Linked DNA regions of Mus musculus: regions 2, 3, 4, 5 and 6 are each reported to be linked to region 1. The links are microRNA targets in miRTarBase. Many come from high-throughput screens and were not tested one by one. Region 1 holds a microRNA gene; each other region holds the end of a gene's coding sequence.
Evidence for each region. The annotated mature microRNA mmu-miR-425-5p reads AAUGACACGAUCACUCCCGUUGA and lies in region 1 at 1,982-2,004, opposite strand. An mRNA with a match to its seed (bases 2 to 7 or 8) in the 3' UTR can be bound and repressed. Matches are read on the target gene's strand: a 7mer-m8 pairs with bases 2 to 8, a 7mer-A1 pairs with bases 2 to 7 and ends in A, and an 8mer does both.

Region 1 (3,200 bases):
GTCATAGCCAGCAGTGCCTCTCTGTTCTACCAGTTCCTTCAGACACAGTCGGCCTAGGACGCCAGGGGGCAGCGTCGCTTCCTTAGAACCATTAAGGTTTGCAAGAACACAGGTTCTCAGTGTTTCGGTCGAGGTGCTCTTCGAGGCAGTGGGCCATTCCACCCGAAGTTTCTGGAGGAAAGTTGACATGTGAGGGTCCCGCACCGGGGGCACTGAGCACACACGTACCCTGCAAAGCAAGGGAGGCTGTCTCAGCCTGCGGACCAGGCTTAGATTATCATGACTCCCACCTTTTCTATCCCCAAATGTTCGGTCTTTTGCCATTATAGCTTCGAACACGCACTTACCCATGAGCACGCAGTACCCGTACTAGATGATCGGCTACGAGCACGGCACGCAGCTGGCTCAATCGGAGCGTCCCCGAATTACAGCGCAGTGCTGGGCAGTGTAGGACAACTCGCGGGCCTGGTGAGGCAGGTTTGGCGGGAGTAGCATAGGAGGCCAGGGCACCGAGTACATGTTCGAAGACAGCGGGCCGCTGTAGTTGGAGCGATAAACCCGCGGGTGTCGGCGCGCAGCGCAGTACAGGGGCCACTCCGGGACCCTGCAGGCAGGAGACCGCACGGAACACGCACTCTGGCACCTGCAGGCAGATGTGTGTAAGTGGGCCGTAGTTCCGTGGATCCCGCTAGGCATGCCCCACAGGAGCGCACCCACCTGGCCGTCCCTGAAGCGCGCCTGTAGCGCGCTTCGCGGTGCCAAGAAGTCTCGAACACGAAGGTGCCGGGCATGGGTTTCCTTAAACCACACTGGGCTACCAGGCCCTACAGCTGCATTAAGGGCCTCCAGCGTCTCGCCAACCCCAAGGCGCCCGGTCGCCATGGCGACCGGAAGACTAAATGGAACAGGAAGTAAGTTATCCGTAGAGCTTCCGGGAGGTCCGCCTGGCGGGGGCGGGGATCCGGCCGTGGACTCTCCTGAATGGACCAGAGCGATCGAGCATGCCAAGTGAGCTTACATTCTACCCACGCCTCCAGCTCTCCCTCCCGATGGCCTTTCCTGTATTCATGAGCCCTAACCTCCAAATTTGAGGGTCCATTTTTCCTCCTTTTTAAAAAAATCGTCACCCCGAATTATTACTTTGATAACGGATCTTTGTTACCAGGCAAGACACTTTGCCACCAAAGTTTCACATCTTTGTGTTTATGTCTCTTTTTTCTTTTTCTGCCCCATTTAAACAAATTAAAGGCCAGACGCACGAGACGAAATGTCAAAGGAATAAGGCTGTACCATTAATGACACTTTGTTTTTCAAGACAGGGTTTCACTGTGTAGCCATGGCTGTCCTGGAACTCTTTGTAGACCAGAAAGTCCTTGAACTCAGAAATCCACCTGCCTCTGCCTCCTGAGTACTGGGATTAAAGGTGTGTGCCACCACTCGTGTCTTCCATTAAAGACTCTTTACCGCCTACTTGGAAAAGTAACGAAACAAAGCAAAATTTGAGTTCTGATTATTGGTACGCCTTTCCTCGGCTGCGGTATGGAATGTCTTTATTCCCAGTAAAAGCCCAATCGGATAGAATTGCCCATCTTGATACCCGAGGAATTAGTCATCATGATTCCAGGATTACCAGCCTTTAATGTTTTTCCTTTAAACTGGTGTTACCGGCACCTTTGGTTCTTTAGGCAACTGGTCAGTTTAAGACAAATGTGATGATGAGAAGACCCAAATAAGCAGAGCTCTCAGGTAGAGCAAGCTGCAGGTGAGCTTTTCTATGTCCAAACTCTTTCGTTTCCAAGTAACGTGAAACTCCACTTCCCCCAGTAATGAATGAATCCAACCGGTGAACTTTGCTCCGGAGAGGAGTGACATCTAGAGATAGGAAAAGTTCGGGAAGGCCGGGGCTATGAGGCCCTGTTTGGGAGGTGCCGAAAGAGCACTGGGCGGACACGACATTCCCGATGGCTTCTTGGGTGCCCACTCAACGGGAGTGATCGTGTCATTCCAAAGCACTTTCCATGCTGTGGTGTGGGTTCAGCTGCTAGCAGGGCTGGGACCCACCAGCAAGTTGGTGATTTTAGCTACTCTCCCTCCATGAAGACGGTTGGGGTGGGTTTTCCCCAGGAAGTGAAGATCTATCTTTAGCGAGCTGCGGGCTGGGCGGCCTTGTGGGACTCACCGCCATTGCGGCCCTTCAGAGAGAGGACCCAGGACCTCCCTGGTCAGAGTTCTCCAGGGATTCCAGACAGGGCCATCAGCCCGAGCTTTTTTCGTCGCCTCTGACTGCCACCATCAGTCTGGGGGTGCACCTGAGAGATGGAGATCAGAATGGCCCAGTAGTGTAGTGTTTCTGAGAATAGAGACCACATTATCTGGGCCAGGGCGCTGCTCAGGCAGGAGAGCAGGGAACGAAATCCAAGTGCAGCTGGAATGCTCTGGAGACAACAGCTGCTTTTGGGATTCCGTTGCCCGCTGTCCAGCCATTGGAGGAGGGCTCTTGCTCCCAGGTCACTCGCCCTGAGGCCAAACCGGAACCCGCCCATCCCTTCCCAGTGGGCTGAGTAGGAAGGAGTAGGTGTTTTAAACCAGTCTAGTGAGAATGAGACGCTCACCTGGGCCCCAGAACAATAGAAGGTGGGGGCATCCCCCGGGACGAGGTCCTGATCCGGATTAGATCAGAAGGGCTGGATTAGCCCTGTGAGTCCCAAGCAGGAGCCACTTGTACCGGGCAGGCTTCGGAATCCGTCAAGAGGGAAGCGATTCCGTGAGACCCGAGAGGAAGTAAACCCATGTGTCCACTTCTGGGACTCCCCAAAGCTTAGGACCTTTTGTCTGGTGACGGTGCCAGCTCATGAAGTGCCAGGGGCCAAACTGGCCCACATAGCAGCGGCAGGACAGCCTCCCCCCAAGCCCATTGCAACCGGCCCTGCAAAGAACCCCACAGCCAAGCCCCATTTGTGTCAAGCATCCCACCCGTCTAGTCCAGCGGATAGAGAACGCGACAAAGTTCCTCTGAGGCCAGGACAGAACCGGTGCGCAGAGATGCCCATGCCGCGGGACGCCAAGGACTCATGCGCCAGTAGGCCCTAGACTCAGCTCAAGACAGGGGGAGGGAGACTCTCGGTACGCGCGCGCAGAGCGCGCAAGGGCGGGGTGGTGCTCCAGGCGCGGTCTACTTCACGTCTGGTCCGGTTTGGCCC
Region 2 (3,200 bases), not on the chromosome of region 1:
TTTCCAACTCTAAGACATACTGTAGAAGCAGAAAGTCAGAGAAACCCGGGAGAATAAACCATGGGGAGATAGGACTCAACTCCTCAGGGGAAAGAAATCTGCCTGTGGAGGTCATGTGTGTACCCTGTCTGTAAGCAAGAATACAGGGGTTGGCTGGGGGGATCACTCCATTTAGAAAAGATCCATAAAAGGGCCAGAAAGGGTGGCAGATGCCTGGGATGTTCTAGAGGTGGGTGGGAAGGACCCTCCGTAATCCACTCCTGATCTGCTCCTCTTTCTTCCACAGAGAATCAAATACCTGATAACCCCCAGGGAGCCCAACCGCTGGGCTGTGGAGCGTGAAGGGGCCACACCCTTTCACTCCCGAGTAACCCTCATGAACGGCGCACTCATGAAACCCAGTCACGTCATTGTGGAGACCATGATGTGAGGTCCGGGCCATGTGACAGGCGCCGCTTTCCTGCTGTTTACTAACGTTAGATTCTCATAGGACCAGGTTTACAGAGCTTTATATTTGTACTAGGATTTTTTTTTTTAATTGTCACAGAAAATGTTACTCTATGTGTGTGTGTATGTGTATCGTGTATGTCTGTATATGTGTGTTTTGTTTTGTTTGGGGGATATTTTGTACAAAAAGAAAACCCATAGGCCTACGTCCTGGGGAAGAGGATGGACTTTCATATTGATTTCCATGTATTTTGTGGGAACTTGGTAAATTTTTCTTTGTATTTTTTTTAACATATAACTATATATACTTAGAGTCTGTCATACACTTTGCCACTTGAATTGGTCTTGCCAGCAATGGATCTCGTTTTTCAAAAGCAATTCTTCGGTGCTTATATAGCTGGCAGAAAGTTCTGCCCAAAAACAAATGAAAAAAGAGAAAAAAAAAAAAAACCTGAATGCTGGGTGGAATTTTCCTATGATAGTGGATACATCTTCAAGAACGGTGTAGTCCCTTCTGAGCTGGTTCAGGAGGAAGAACACAGCTGAGGAGAGGGAGCCCCCCCCCCCCACTAGCTGAACAGACCTGAGGGGCAGGAGAGAGCAGGGCTATGGACCCTCAGCCAACAAGAAAGATGCCAAAATACTGGCCCACCCTCAGCATGAATGATAGATCTCAGAGCAGCTGAAGCGGTTGTACCAGGGCCAAACGCCTGCCCTCTTACTTGGAAGAAGACATGGGTGGTAGTCAGTGGGACTGGCTGAACCACCATGGGTATTACAGGCAGGGATGGGACGTCTGAATGTCTGGTGAGGATGTGGCTCAGGTCTGGGAGCCTGCCTCTGCAGGCGTAGGCCGAATCCCTGTCCTTTCTTGAACACTCAGTATGGCTGCCCGAAGCCAGGCCACAGGAGCTGCTGGGGCTTCAGAGTGGGGGTCACACTCAGGAAGTGTCTGCGGTATTTGAGTGGAGTCATGGTGGGTGGTGACCAGAGTATTCCCCAAGCAGAATGTATTTTGGTGAGGGCCCGGGGTGAGGGAGGCCAGTGGACCAAATGATATTAGCAGCTCAGGAGGGTGAGTGTACCCCAGGCTGGCAAGTGTACCCCAGGAGGGCACTATTCTTCCTTGCCTCTTGACAAACTCTTGTGAAAGTTACCACCCCAGAACCATCCAGCAGCTCCCAGCAAGGAGTGCTCCAAGTGGCTGTAGACCCTGGATCTTAAAGGATCTGAGTTCCAGTACAGAGCCAGCTTGGTAGTGACCTCAGATGATTTCCAAGCCACTGCATTGGCTGTTGGACAGGCGTTTGCCCCCAGGGGACGGCAGAGGGAAGGCGAAGGGAAGTTTCGGTCAGTTGAAGCTATCTCCACAGAAGTGAGGTCAGTACTCCAGAGCTGCCCAATGTCAGCTTCTGAACCAGGAGAGGGCACTACACCTTCACCCCAGCCTCCACTGGGCCCAACTGTGCCATCCTGAACTTCTTTGACAAATGTACACATTTTTTCCTGTCTCCAAAGCAATGTACTCTGCCAAGTGACCCTCTAATCCTCTTCCAGTGGCTGTTGACTCAGCCACCCATGATTGTACTGTGTTCCTGTTGTCCTGTGTATTTCTGGTTGCTCTCGTGTTATTTTGAGTGTTTGGAGTTCTCCTTCCCCGATTTTACCGACTTGTAATGTACCCTGGTTTTCTTTCGTTCAACGGAACCTTAAAAGTAACCACTGTGGGTGACTGAAAGACAGGTGAAGTGTAAGGGAGAGGGGGGCTCGTCCAGCTGTGGCAGTGTCTGTGGTCATGCCCGTCTACCCTACCCCTAACCCCCACCGGGCACGCCCCTCTGGCGAGCCTTCAGTATTTTGGGTTGGCAGACAAATGGCACCATTCTGGAAATGGCCTGAGAAAGGCTTTTTTTAATCATTCCCAGATCGAATTCTAGACCAAAGACACAGCGGGCCAAGTCCCCAGGCCCTGCCTGGATTTGGAAGGCCAGCCGCCTCCCGAGCCCACTCCCCAGCAGTGTCCCCTCACCTGTCTTCAGTGGCCCCCACTCTCACCCCGCCCCTGCCCCTGATGACCCTTATTGTGATGCTTGTCTTTTCACGTCTGCATGTAAGTAACATTTTGAAGTAGAGCTCGTGACTCTGGTCCGCCTGCCTCCTGGAGAGAGGGCTAAGCTGTTCACCAACCAGCCCTTGCCTGGAACAGGCCAGATCCTGTCCTGCCTGTCAGATGGAGACAGGAAGCAAGGGACATTGCCTGGTTTAGATGAGGACATTAGGTGGGCCCAGGAGACCCTGGGAGATGTTATTTGGTCCTAAGAGTGATGTGACCTCCCAAATGGAGGGTCCCTGCTGGGCACTGTGGGCAGCCCCAGAGGGCCCTGATCCAAGGCACTTATGTAATCAGGAGAATAGGCCTAGTGTGGGGACTTACACTGTGAGCTAAGTGGAACTGGACATTTGAGTCATTTGTAGCTTCAGGTTCTCCAAGACTTAGTAGAGGGAAGGCAGGTCCAGGGCATTGTCTAAGTAAACTGTCAAGCCTTCCCTGTCAACCAAAGGCCAGAGCTGATGAGGGCCCTTGCTCCATATTCATGGAACACAGAGCAATACCCACGTGTGCCAGTCCTTACCGCCCTGCTCACCCCGGCCCCGTGCCACCCTTCCTTCCTTCCTTTCTCCTCCAAAGCCTTTGGGAACTAGGAATTGATACACCCTCCCCTCAAGTTGTACCACAGGAAACTGAGGGCCAA
Region 3 (3,200 bases), not on the chromosome of region 1:
CGAGTGTGGCAAAGCCTTCAGTCTCAATTCAAACCTTGTCCTTCATCAGCGAATCCACACGGGAGAGAAACCTCATGAATGTAACGAGTGTGGCAAAGCCTTCAGCCATAGCTCAAATCTCATCCTGCACCAGCGCATCCACTCTGGAGAGAAGCCCTATGAATGTAACGAGTGTGGCAAAGCCTTCAGCCAGAGCTCAGACCTCACGAAGCACCAGAGAATCCATACAGGAGAGAAGCCCTATGAATGTAGCGAATGTGGAAAAGCTTTCAACCGAAACTCATACCTTATTTTGCATCGGAGAATTCACACCCGAGAAAAGCCCTACAAGTGCACTAAGTGTGGCAAGGCCTTCACCCGGAGCTCGACCCTCACACTGCACCACAGAATCCATGCCAGAGAGAGAACGTCAGAATACAGCCCAGCCTCTCTGGATGCCTTTGGGGCATTCCTGAAAAGTTGTGTGTAAAGCAGGAGTGTCTCGTCAAGCCATTTCCCCCCTTTTGTTTCTGGAATTACCTATGTACCCATCGAGGGAAAAGTAATAGCACCATCGAATTGTTTGGGAAGTCACACTTCAGGGTCTCTAACAGTTACATCAACCATGTCCTCCCTTCAGGAAGTCTGTAGACATGCAATTCTTAAAGTCCGTGTAAGGGAAAGCTGGCCGTGTGGATATTCCTGCACTCAAGATAAAAGCATGCACAGTAAACTGTCAAGCTTTCTAGTCATGGGTATACCTTTAAGGTTTGCTTCCCAGCAACCACACCATATAGTTGATGAGTCAAGATCAGCTCTGTGAATATTATACTGGTTAAGCCACTTGCTGCAAACAAACCCTAATTAGACAACTTGTATTTCACAATGAAGAGAGATAGTTAATACAAAAACTACATTGGGACATGCTGCTTGAGCAAGTTGTAAATCCAGAAGGTTCTATATCTGATCACTGGTAGCCTGCCAAAGCTATAGAAATCTAGGACTGTGTTGGTCAGAATCAAACCAAAGATTTCTATCTCTTTCTGAAAGAGGGCATATGCACCAGTTTATAGTTCCAAGGACTGTAACAAATGTGGATGGGCCTGCCCCCATCAGTGAGATCAGTCCTACTGAAATAGCAACAATTCAAGATGCTTCTCTTCCTCTTCAACATCCCTAAAGCACTCTAGAACGCCTAAATGCACTCTCCACAAATTAGCACTTGATTGTATACCATCTTTTCATCCTTCAGTGTTGGAAGCTTTTATCAATCACCACTCCCCCAAAAAGATGCTTCAGTTGTCAAGAAATATAGTTATGTTCCAGACAGCACAGCACTGGATGTAGTACTAAACACACACAAGGCACTCCTTAGGACGGACTTCTAACATCACTGTCATATTTGTGGTAGGGTCTGTAAATCATGTGAGTACCTGAACTATGGTACCTTCAGACCTACAGGACATGCTATAATGTATTCTGGACTCAATGTTATTTTGTCCTAAGTATAAACAAAGGTTGGTCAGCTACCTGCAGAGACTGCAAATATGGGTCAGTAAGTAAATACCACAGAGTATCAGAAAGGATTCTTGTCATCCACGTACAGAAGAAAACTATGAACACTAACTATGAAGTTTCTGTTTGTGTGACATCATTCCACAGCAAAGCTCTTGTTCTTGGCCAGAGTTCTTTTCAGTGAGCTGCTAAATGGTGGCATTTTGAGCACTTGCTGAGTTGTTCATCACTTAGCCAATCCTGTTCAAAAGATGTGAAGGGTTTTTGTTGTTGTTCTTTTGTTTGATTTTTTTTAAAGTTTTTTTTTTTATTTGTTTTATTTCTCAGAGAAAGGGAAAGTTTAAGGGAGCATTTTTCCTCTCACATTTAACCAGAAACTTGTAGAAGCATCTGTCATCATTAGCCAGCAGTAACTTAAGATGTCCTGTAGCTCTGAGAAGTTCACCACCACACCAGTGTGGTTGGTTGTGTCACTGTATTTAATAACACACAGTGTCTTTTCTGTTTCTCATGAAAGACTAAAGTGAGGAAGTGAGGTTAGGGGACTTTAGCCTTTCCTGTCATCTCTGCAGGTGGCTTCCCAGAAGCTCTTGATGGAGACATAACACATACAGGAGACCCCAAGTATCAAGCTATGCAGGTATTGGGATCTTGAACAGACAGCTTTATTTAAGGAAGCATTGAGATAGTGTGGACAGCCCTACAGAACCCTAGAAACATAAGCTAAAGACAAACTTGAAGACTGTTGACATGGACACCCCGCCTATGGTTGAGATTTCCCCTCAAGAAACAACTAAAATCACCTTGCACCAGTTGTTCACTGGTGACCAGCAGCAAAAGTCGGTGAGACACAATAGCAGCAGGTCTCATCAGGTTGGTACCTGTGACCTCTGTTCCAAGTCAGACTAGAATCCTACAAACAATCACTGGTTCTTGCTTGACTTTATTTCTTAGACCAATCCTAATCTCTGGCGGCATCTGAGCTGTTTGCTTAGTGCTGCCAGTGAGTGTTCTATCCATCCAGCTGAAAATCAACAGAGCTACTCTGAGGATTGCACCTGACTCACTTTCTGGAGTGAGGTGGAGATAAAGAGGTGCTTTTTAAGGTTCTCTTAAAGGAATGAGTCATATTAATGGTGGACTTTTGTGTGAGAGCTCTGGCCTGTTTGGTTTTTTGTCTTGTTTTGTGTTGGGTTTTTTTGTTTTTGTTTTTGTTTTTTTTTTTTTTTAAAGCAACTGAAATAAGGTACAGGACTCCAGGAGCACATCGAGACACTGGCTTTGATCCCAAGAAAGGACTTTGGTCATTTCCCTTTTGGCTGCTTATACACAGACAATTAACCACATGCTGGTGCACTTCAGCCGTTATTCTTTGTTCTTAAATGAAATTAAGACTGACCTGTGATCCCATCCCTCATTTGATTTCCATTTTACTGGAACGTTTTACTATTAGATAGTCACTGGGATGGCTCCAGATCTTCCATGGATGCAGTCCTGGAGGCAGCCACCTGAAAATACATTTTACTTAGAAAGCTGACTATAGGTGGTTATCCAAATTTCTTAGATGCTCAGCAGTGTCACTGCATCGTGGTCAAATGTGGTGACATCTGTCGTTAGTGCTCAGGCTAGTTAACAGCCTAAGTGCTTATTAGTTAACCATCAGCATGCCGATTGACATGATGGAACTTTAAGACTTCTTAAATGTA
Region 4 (3,200 bases), not on the chromosome of region 1:
TCCCGTCAAAGACAGAAAACAGGCATCAGTTGACATCTGAAAGCCACTATAGTTCTCTTTAGTCAGTTGATGAGTGGAAACCCATCATATTTCGGGAACCCAGCCAAGTCCCTCACCTGAGAGAAAATGCGCCCCCGCCCAGTTGTAAATTACCTTGGAACACATTTTCTCAGCACAAAGAGAATGCAGTGAAACCTGGGCATTTGCCTGTGTGCCTAAAAAGCAAAGACCGCAGATAGAAAGGTACATTTGAAAAAGCCTTTTAAAAAGTACCGGCAGTAAGATACTTTAAGACTGAGAATCCTGTGATCAATGTAGGGAGGTCTCAAAAGAACATACAGACACGTGCAGGTGTTTTTTAATCACAACAATTTTTTCAGATGAAAGCTGAACAGTGGGGTTGTACGTACAGTGTTTCCAACATGGCTGCATGTTGGAATCACCCAAGGAGCTTAAACTTAAATTAATAAAAAATTAAAATGAAAAAAAAAGATATCACATGTCCCAGCTACACCCAAAATCAATGAACTCTAATCTGAGAGAAGCCAGTGGGATTCAGACCGCTGGGTTTTTTAGACCCTGCAGGTGAATCCAACATGCAATGAAACCTGGTCTCCCCCTCATCGTAAAACTTATTCCCTTTTAACTCTGCCTTACAAATCTGCTGTGTGAATGGTCAACCTTTCCTACTGCCACTAACTTCTTTAAAGCTAGAATCTGAGACCTCAGCAATTACAGAGATTCACAAATACACATACATAAAATACATGCACACACGTTTTTATTTATTTAACTTAGGCCCTAATTATTAGTACATAAAAATCAGAAACACTGAGTGCCTTGAAACTTGCATACTTTCTCCAAATATATATAAAAAAGGAACTCTAAAACAGCACAAAACAAATATATTTAAGTCATAACACACACACATCTGCACACACAATCAATTCACTCACCTTCAGGAACCATGACCCACTAAATATATTTAATAGGTAAGATCTCACTGTACAAAAAAAAAAGAAAAAAAAAAAGAATGAAAGAAAAAGAAAAAAAAATACAAACAAAAAACCCCACATCCAAAAAACCCGGATAAACAAGTAACCAAACTTTGATTAAGACACGTGCCCATCCTGTGAGCACTACAGTCCAAATGGTTTGTCACAGCACTTTGAGGTAGCATGTTCTGTAAAGTTACACAAGTCACAGAGCTGTCCTAGAATGTCTCCTGGACACAACATACAGGCATCAGCCTCGGCCCTCCACGGAGGAAGATGAACTTTTCTGCACTCAATTGCTACCGTCAGCCTGGCTATTCAGCCACCCGCCTTTGGGCAGCACAGCAGCATTCTGATGCCATCTTCCCTCTTGGCTGCAGAGCCAGCATCCTTTGCCACATGTGTCCCCACTGGCTGAAGAAAGGGCCAGTAGAAGCAGCACTGGGAGACCCAGAGTCCTTTCTTCTTGTCTTTGAAAGCTACATTCACTAAGAGACTCCCTCTTTTAAAGGCTACAAAGAAGATCATGTCCATTGCCTCCATGATTCCACCCTAAGAAGGCATCTCCTTTCTTTCCTTGAATACAATATTTATGGAGGAGCAAGCGGGAAACTCTCTGGGATTTTCTGGTAGGACAATGAGCAGAGCCGCTTGGAAAAAAAAAAAATCCACACAACAAGACAACAAAGCACAGGTACAAGACCAAAACCAAGGACAGGTTTCCCTTTTGCAAGTTAGCTTTTGTTGACAGAGTGATTTTGTTTTGTTTTGTTTTGTTTTGTTTCTTTTGAGACAGGGTTTCTCTACGTAGCCCTGGCTGTCCTGGATCACTACGTAGACCAGGCTAGCCTCAAACTCTCAGAGATCCACCTGCTCCTGGAGTGCTGTGATCAAAGGCGTGCACCACCACACCTGGCTTTCTTTTGCAAGTTCAAATGACAAGAGTTTTACAGTTTAGGAAGTGGCTTGCTGCTTTTAAAGAAAATTAATTCAGTTCCGCTCTGCGTTTTAAAGGTCAAGACAGGTTAAGGATTAAAGCTGCAGAAAAAGTTCCACCTGGATGCAAGTAATAGGTTTATGTTGTTGTTTCTTTCTTTCTTTTTTTTTCCTCAATGGTTACAGATCTAAAAAATTTCAAAAGCCCTTTTGTCCCAATAAGGTTCCCTCTTTGAAAGGTGAACCCTCAAAAGTAATCAGTATACAAGTGAATAAAAAGAGCACATGACCAGGCAAAAAGGACATGTGCTGGGCCTGAGTTGCCACTTAAAACCATATCTAGCATCACATAAAACCCTCGTGGGCTGTACAGAAATGAGCCCCAGACATCACTGAACAGGGCAGCGACTGGAGTTAGCGCAGGACTGAGCATTGGACTTCAAGTATCTGAAATGCTAGAGCAGCCAGTCCTCGAAGGAGCAAGTTCAAGGAGCCCTTGGACTCCCTGCACCCCACTATACAAAAAGCAAAGCACCCCCGATGTGCTTGTCAAAGCAAGGGCCACGAGACCAACTGCTCTCTGAACGCAGCAGCCTCAGGAAGACAAAAGGGCTCTACCACCTGCACAGTGCCAAGGCCTGCAAGCTGACACTCAGGTAACTGCTTGGATTCCTTCTCTCCCTTTTCTATCAAACAGGAAAATGGTTCCATCGGGTTAACAGTGTTGTCTTAAAATGCCATAAATTAAATAAGTTAGTTCACATTTTTTTTTTCTTTCCCAGCACTTAAATTACAACCAAGTCTCTAAAGCACTTTCAAAGCCTGCTGTAACAGGTCAAGGTCTCTTCTGTGGACACTGCCGGTCCGGGAGCACCCATATTCCTCCATCTGCAACGGGAGAAACTGCTCAAGCACTCCGAGGCCCTGCTCATCGGGACTGGTGAACAGCTTCGTCCATGACGGTGCGAAGTTTCCGCTGAATCCCAAAAATACGACACTACCTATAAAAAGAGAGGGAGAGAAAAGTTAAAGTGTATAGCTATTTCCTACAAGATAACGAGGGAAATGAGTCAGAGTTGAACAAAACAAAGACAGGATTTTTTATATTTATATGTGTGTATATATATATATAATTATAAATACAGATATAGATTTAAAAAAAAAAAAACACCTGCACACCTGCACTTCCTTACATCAACAATGAACTCCTGCCTCCCAAATGACAAGCCATATCCCAACACACTTTCTTTGACACAGTCCTTTATCAAG
Region 5 (3,200 bases), not on the chromosome of region 1:
TTGTATACTTCTGTACACGACTTACCCATTGCTCAAGGAGTCTGCTCTCATTCTTCTACAAACTGTCCCTAAGCAAATCGATATCAAACACTTGGTGAAAGAGCTTCGAGACGTTGACGGCGTTGAGGAAGTCCATGAGCTACATGTCTGGCAGCTGGCGGGAAGCAGGATCATCGCCACTGCCCACATAAAATGTGAGGACCCCGCTTCCTACATGCAGGTGGCCAAGACCATTAAAGATGTCTTTCATAATCATGGAATCCACGCTACCACCATCCAGCCTGAATTCGCTAGCGTCGGCTCTAAGTCAAGTGTGCTCCCGTGTGAGCTCGCCTGCAGAACTCAGTGTGCCCTGAAGCAGTGCTGCGGGACACGGCCACAGGTGCATTCTGGGAAGGATGCAGAGAAGGCGCCAACAGTTAGCATTTCTTGTTTAGAACTCAGTGAGAATCTAGAGAAGAAGGCCAGGAGGACTAAAGCTGAAGGCAGTCTCCCTGCTGTGGTGATAGAGATTAAAAACGTGCCAAACAAACAGCCCGAATCATCTTTGTGAGTCTTGAAAAAGATGTGATATTTGACTTTTGCTTTTAAACTGCAAGAGAAAATAGACTCCATTGAAATACTAAGTTTGCCAAGTAGTGTAATTGAAGTCCTTGTCTGGTCGCACAGTTTAATTCTATTTTTGTAAGAACATAATGGAACTGCCTAATAGAGAGTGCTACATTGCAGCCTTGTGATTCTTAGTGCATAGTGCAGCTATGCTGGAACACGTTTGAAAGCCAGTTTTAACACTATGTTACATTTTTGTTTAAAGTAAGTATAAATCTTATATGACATAATGAAATTTGATTCCTGGTTTTCCCATGATAAAAATTAGGGGGATAAATAAAATTGTTACTGGAATTTCTCTGCTTTTCTTCCCCCCCCCCCCCCATTGCTATATCTTATCTGTTAGGATTATAATTGCTAGGCCTTTAAAATCATCAAGTTTGTCTCCTTTGATGTTTGAGGGGATGGTTGCTTGCCCTTTGAGATCATAAACAGACCATAATGGCAGCATATTTCCAGAGTCATGACTCTTAGCAGAAAGTCAGTTTAGTTACTACTTTGTTTTCTCTGCTGCTGAGGAATAGTCTAGTAAACTCTGAGATAATTCACAAGATGAGTTGTAGTTACACATCGTGGAGCATATAGGGGCTAAGAGCAGGGAGGAAGGCAAGCTACAGCTACGTCCGTTACTTCACAGTAATAATGCTGATTATAGCTCTAAAGTATCTTGAAAATCTCTAATGGCTTTATTCTACCAAAGTCAGTCTAAACATGTTTGCCAGTGTTGCTTTCTTTCAAAGACTGGTATTAGCAACATTGAGTTAAATGGTTCTAAATGCATGAGTATTTTTTGAGAATGCAGGCTTGTCTTGGCTCCTTAACTGCAAACTATTAATCTTAAATTATGTCTTAAAGAAACTTCCATAGTGACCCATCAGATGGAATGAATACATTTCTTCATGGGCAGCCAACACAGTGTGTGCTTAGCCAAGAGCCAGTGACTTAAAAATGAAATCACATGGCTCATGCAATTTGGATATTACTTTAGAAAGCAAAACCAGTAAGAGGAAGGCTTGGATCTTTAGCCACCGTGCCTTGGCATGCTGGCTTGCAAAGTGCTTTCTCTGCAGGACTCTGCACTTTGCACCCAGGAAGTCATTCACGGCTGCTCCATTGCCACAGATTTCAAATCCAACGCAGACATTTGAAGATTTTTAAGTTATTTTTTCCAGAAAGGTTAATGCTTTGTGAAGGAAATGTAGATTTTTGTCTTCAAAAGAGTGATTATTAATATCAGTTATGTATAGCTCTATTTTTCTAGGAACAAAGTATTCTGACTACTTCAATAACTTTTATAGCTGACTACTTTTGGGAAAGTTAACTTTTGGGATTTGAAATAATTCATTGCTTAATAATCTGAAAATGGAAGTGTTAGAGTATGACAGTTACTTTAAGGAATGGTCGCTCCCCTAGTGTAATAAGCCTGTTGCTGGCAATGGGCCTACATAAGAACAGCTGGGTTTTCTGATAAGAAATGTAATTTTTGGAACATAGTTTGTAAGCTCACATTTACTACACTGGGCCAACCTTCAACCTACATAATACTTGACTAATATGTGATCTGACCCCTTGGCAGGTGGTTACTTTGACTTTAACAAAACATTTGTTTTTTAAAAAAAACATGAAATTGAGAGCTCTGTGAGTGGTGTGAGCGGGAGCTCCAGTTGTCTCGGATGGTACTGTGCAGAAGGGTTCAGTGTTTCCACAGGGGTACAGGAGGCCATCCAGGAGGTGGCCTTCAGAACCTCTGGGCAGGTTTATGTCATGGGGAGGAGGGCTGTGTCAGTCTGATTTTCAGAAGTGCTTTAAGGTGGTGGTGGCCTGGGTTAAGTGGGTTCTATGTATAAAAGTGGTACCGTAGGCTTTTTTTTTTTTTTTCAAAGGTGTTTGTTACAGCAAAGTCCATGGGCGCCAACTCACCTTGAGGTTTTAGAGAATTATTTATTTCTTTACAATGCACTTTCTAACCCATTTTTTAGCTATATTAGCATTATCTTTAAGAAGAAAAGATGTTTTTATATTTAAATGTTGTGGGATTTGAGTGTCTTTTCCAAAAATAGCATATTTCTTGAAAGAAAATGAGGAGCTACCTTGGCCTCTTGGGGACTATCCCATTGTTTAAATGTGCTTCCTCTCCCAAGTCAGGGCTGCAGGGGGGTTGGGGTGGGGGTTGGGGTAGGGGGAGGCTTCCCTGGTTCCTTCTCACTTGAGCCAGGTCAGTGTGGAGCTGAGTGAGGAAGCATACACTCAAACAGGATCCTTCCAAGCCATGTGCAGCCTTGGAACAATGGACTTGCTTTCCCATGGTCAGCTTTTACCTTGTGGGAGTAATTCTTTTCTGGGGGGTTGGGGGTGGATTATCTACATTGTAGATGGACAAGCCAGAACATGAAAAACAATTCTGGAACATTTTACTGTATTTTCACACCCAAAACAAAATGCTGGGTACCTTTATCCTAAGAGGCATAATTTGAGCAGGGAGGGTTTCCATCAAGTTTACCTTGGAGGGTCTCGGGAGGCTGTTTGTATGTGTGTGTCTTGTCAGCATCTGTTATTTTGAGTTCCTGAAAATTTTGAGGGAAAAGAAAACC
Region 6 (3,200 bases), not on the chromosome of region 1:
GGTTTCACAACTGGACATCTCTGGCATTTAGTGTGTAAAGGCCAAAGCTACTGGAAAACACCCTACAATACACAGGCAACCCTTGCCAACACAGAATTATCTAGCCCAGAATATCAGTAATGTTGTACTTAAAAGGTAAAAAAAAAACCCTCTGCTTAATAGTAGTGTGTGGTCTAGTTTCAAAATAAGGATATTCCGTTATCTTAGGGAGTCACCAACACTGCAACAGATTCCATGCTAACAGACCAGCAGGACATGAAATGCTGTAGAACTCAGTGATTAAGGCTTCAAGTGGTTGCTTTTAAAGTTTCTTAGATACAATTTCTGCTCTTCTTGTCTTTTGGGGAGTGTTTTTTTTAGAAGTATATTTTTGAGTAGTCTTTCCATCTTAGATTCAATCAATGTCTAACCAACTCTTTCCTCTTGTCTTCCAGGAACAATACCAGTTTGTCTACAAAGCAATGCTCAGCTTGATCAGTACTAAAGAAAATGGAAATGGTCCCATGACCGGGGACAAAAACGGTGCTGTGCTAACTGCAGAGGAATCAGACCCTGCAGAGAGCATGGAGTCTCTGGTGTGACTAGTCCCCTGGAAGGGCACTTCATTTGTAAACTTCTGAGACTTGTAAAGACAGAAATTTTTTGAGGCCTTTTTTGCCAGACTCTAGGTTATACAATAACCCAGTTACTTTTTTACACTGATAAAAGTTTTGATATTTATTTTTTGCCATTTTCTGTCTTAATGGTATCCTACTGAGCATTTGCGCCTGTTCTTCATTTCACACAGTGAAACGCAACTTTACCTAGTTTGCACTATATGATCAGTGTTAACTGCCTATAATCTAATACTACAGAAACCCTGATGTGACATTCCATGACCACATACATGCTATTTTTTAGTTCCGTGCAGTGAAGGTCTTTGTTATGACAGTGAATCTCAGTTTTACTATTATTCTAAAGCAACTACAATTTCTTAGCAGGCAACAGTGTACTTTTCTCAGTCCCCTCTATTTTTTAGGCACTGTTCAATACTACATGCCTTCTGTTTTAATGGAGTGGATGGGCGTTGTCTCCTTTTGCAGGACAGCAGGTGACTGGGAGCCCTATAGATCTGTTGGCATCAGTTCCATTTGTAATGGTTGAGGGACCACTAAGAAGTTAAGAGGGCTTCAGAGTTACTTCATGTGAACATCTCTTATTAGTTACCAAGTTATATTCACAGTTGAAATGTGTCAAAATAAAGAATCATTCTGTATTACAGATTTCACAGTAGCTATGTGGACAGTGTGTGTTATTTCTATGTTGACTCTCTGAAGTAGCAAACCCTAAAATCAGGGCTGTCTTTTACAATGGGAAGATGGCCTTATTTTACACAATTTACTTATGACACTCTTTAGTTAACTCAACTATAGCTTTTTGGTAAATAGTACCATAGTAGCTACAACCACAAAATAGGTATTGACATTTAAACGTAGTCTTTGAAAAGTCCCTACTAACTACTCCTATAGCAATCTAATAAACACTACCTATAGACAGCATTTTTTTTGCCAAATGTTTCATAATAAATCTCTTAATTACATCCAACTCTACTTAAGATTGAATTGGAAATATATTTGGGAGTCAATTTTTATAGGTCTTACTTTGAGAAAGAAATAGGAATCTTAAAGAGAAAATCCAGTTCTTGAATGAAAGATGGCATCTCCATTTTAGACTGGGTTTTAAGGAAGAGATGCGGATGCTCACAAACAAATGTACATTTATAAAAGATGGCAGTAGTCATTAGGAAGCCCAGAGGCCAGTGTCTGGAGCTACTTTCAGCACGTAGTACATATGGGCAAACTGGAAGCATTATTTCGAAATTTCACTTGAGTTTGTTTAAAACAAAACAAAATCCACTAAGCTATTAATCAGGATCTGTATCTTCCTTCTCCTCTTTGCTTTTGAAAGTCAACTTCTGCCAGAATTGAAATCCCCCAAGATTGGTTTCTTCTTTATGACAAAAGCTTTCTGAAGAGGAGGGCAGCATCTCAGTGTGAATGCGGCTTTATTGTTCGTGGGTTGTTTTTTGGAACTAGTCACAGAAGTGCTGGAGAGCCAGAGCTGGTAAGGAGAGAGTCACAGGCCAAGCCCAGAGCTTTCAACGCATGGACCAGGCCAATAGAGCCCCATGAAGATAGTGTGTGCACAAAGACCTAAGAGAACACACAGAGAATTGGGAGGCTGGCTTTCAAAACTGGTGAGCAGCTGAGCCGAATCCACTAACATATCTGTGCTAGATGGATTTACCAACCCCTGCAGCCCCACCAGAGGGGTCACCTCTGCACAATACAAAGGATTGACCATAAGAAACATAACTCTTAGAGGCTGTGGGAAATAAGGAAGGAAAAGGTTTCAGATTGTGGTATGAGCTTCCCAGTCAATCGAGCAGATTCTTTTTGCTGTGCACAGATCTGATCTTAGCTAATGCTTTTCAGTTAGATGCTCAGTGGAATTAACATTTGAATTGGAGTTCAGTCTCTCAATTGTCTCGTAGTAAAAATAACATTGTCTAGAAGACAAATGGCAAGTATTACTTCTGTGCTGTTTACACAAGATTCAATTCATGAAAATGCATACTCTACAGTTCTGGGGCTCTCTCTTACACGAGTGAAAGAAGAATGGGAGAAAGGGAGAAAGAAGTACAACAGAAGTACAATCAAGGCGGGGGAGAGGCTTCCTGTGGGCAGCCTACATGTCTACAGCAGGCTTGAGCCAAAGCCTACAGATGCCAGCCTACTGGACTACATGCAGTTGCTATGTGCCCATTTTGCCAAAGTGGTCCACACGCCCTTTACTGGGGGTGATAGTTACCTTCAGCTCTCTTCAGTCCTCACATTCACCACAATTTGTATGTTCACTATTCTTTGCTATTGGCAAAAATGTTTTTGCATCTTTCCAGAGGCAAAGAGTTCCAAAGATGTTTTCTTTGAGACATAAGCACGTGGCTTAAGTATATAAGGTTAGTACTATTTACAGTCGAGGGAAAAGATATAACTATTGGTAAAGCTAGTGTGAAAGTTTATGAGATATGCTGGTTTTATGAATTTACCTCTAGGGAAATGAAATATACAAACCAAATGAAGCGGAATTGTTATAATTTGATCAGGTGGATGTGCAGGATATCACAGATGTATTAGAGACACCCGAAAAGTTTCTTGTAC

Region 2: miRTarBase lists Slc6a6 as a target of mmu-miR-425-5p. Seed matches in the 3' UTR shown: 7mer-A1 at 764-770.
Region 3: miRTarBase lists Zkscan1 as a target of mmu-miR-425-5p. Seed matches in the 3' UTR shown: 7mer-A1 at 1,374-1,380.
Region 4: miRTarBase lists Cemip2 as a target of mmu-miR-425-5p. The part of its 3' UTR that is shown has no 7-base or 8-base seed match.
Region 5: miRTarBase lists Slc30a1 as a target of mmu-miR-425-5p. The part of its 3' UTR that is shown has no 7-base or 8-base seed match.
Region 6: the mRNA of Ptprg is a reported target of mmu-miR-425-5p. The part of its 3' UTR that is shown has no 7-base or 8-base seed match.

Annotation. Positions count from the first base shown.
Region 1 is chr9:108,567,593-108,570,792 of GRCm38, reverse strand. Mir425 (microRNA 425) reads right to left here and starts at 2,016; the gene lies at 1,932-2,016. Dalrd3 (DALR anticodon binding domain containing 3) reads right to left here and starts at 901. Exons shown (of 12, transcript NM_026378.3): 1 at 718-901; 2 at 348-643; 3 at 1-229. The coding sequence starts at 882. Mir191 (microRNA 191) reads right to left here and starts at 2,474; the gene lies at 2,401-2,474.
Region 2 is chr6:91,754,628-91,757,827 of GRCm38, forward strand. Slc6a6 (solute carrier family 6 (neurotransmitter transporter, taurine), member 6) reads left to right here. Exons shown (of 15, transcript NM_009320.4): 15 at 287-3,200. The coding sequence ends at 430. Among named protein-coding and RNA genes, the nearest start is that of Gm44981, 34 kb to the left of the region's middle.
Region 3 is chr5:138,101,014-138,104,213 of GRCm38, forward strand. It overlaps Zkscan1 (zinc finger with KRAB and SCAN domains 1), which reads left to right. Exons shown (of 6, transcript NM_133906.4): 6 at 1-3,200. The coding sequence ends at 469. Among named protein-coding and RNA genes, the nearest start is that of Zscan21, 14 kb to the right of the region's middle.
Region 4 is chr19:21,855,887-21,859,086 of GRCm38, reverse strand. It overlaps Cemip2 (cell migration inducing hyaluronidase 2), which reads right to left. Exons shown (of 24, transcript NM_001033759.2): 24 at 727-2,932. The coding sequence ends at 2,736. Among named protein-coding and RNA genes, the nearest start is that of Cemip2, 79 kb to the right of the region's middle.
Region 5 is chr1:191,909,203-191,912,402 of GRCm38, forward strand. Slc30a1 (solute carrier family 30 (zinc transporter), member 1) reads left to right here. Exons shown (of 2, transcript NM_009579.3): 2 at 1-3,200. The coding sequence ends at 553. Among named protein-coding and RNA genes, the nearest start is that of 1700034H15Rik, 3.3 kb to the left of the region's middle.
Region 6 is chr14:12,237,293-12,240,492 of GRCm38, forward strand. Ptprg (protein tyrosine phosphatase, receptor type, G) reads left to right here. Exons shown (of 30, transcript NM_008981.3): 30 at 435-3,200. The coding sequence ends at 581. Among named protein-coding and RNA genes, the nearest start is that of 3830406C13Rik, 45 kb to the right of the region's middle.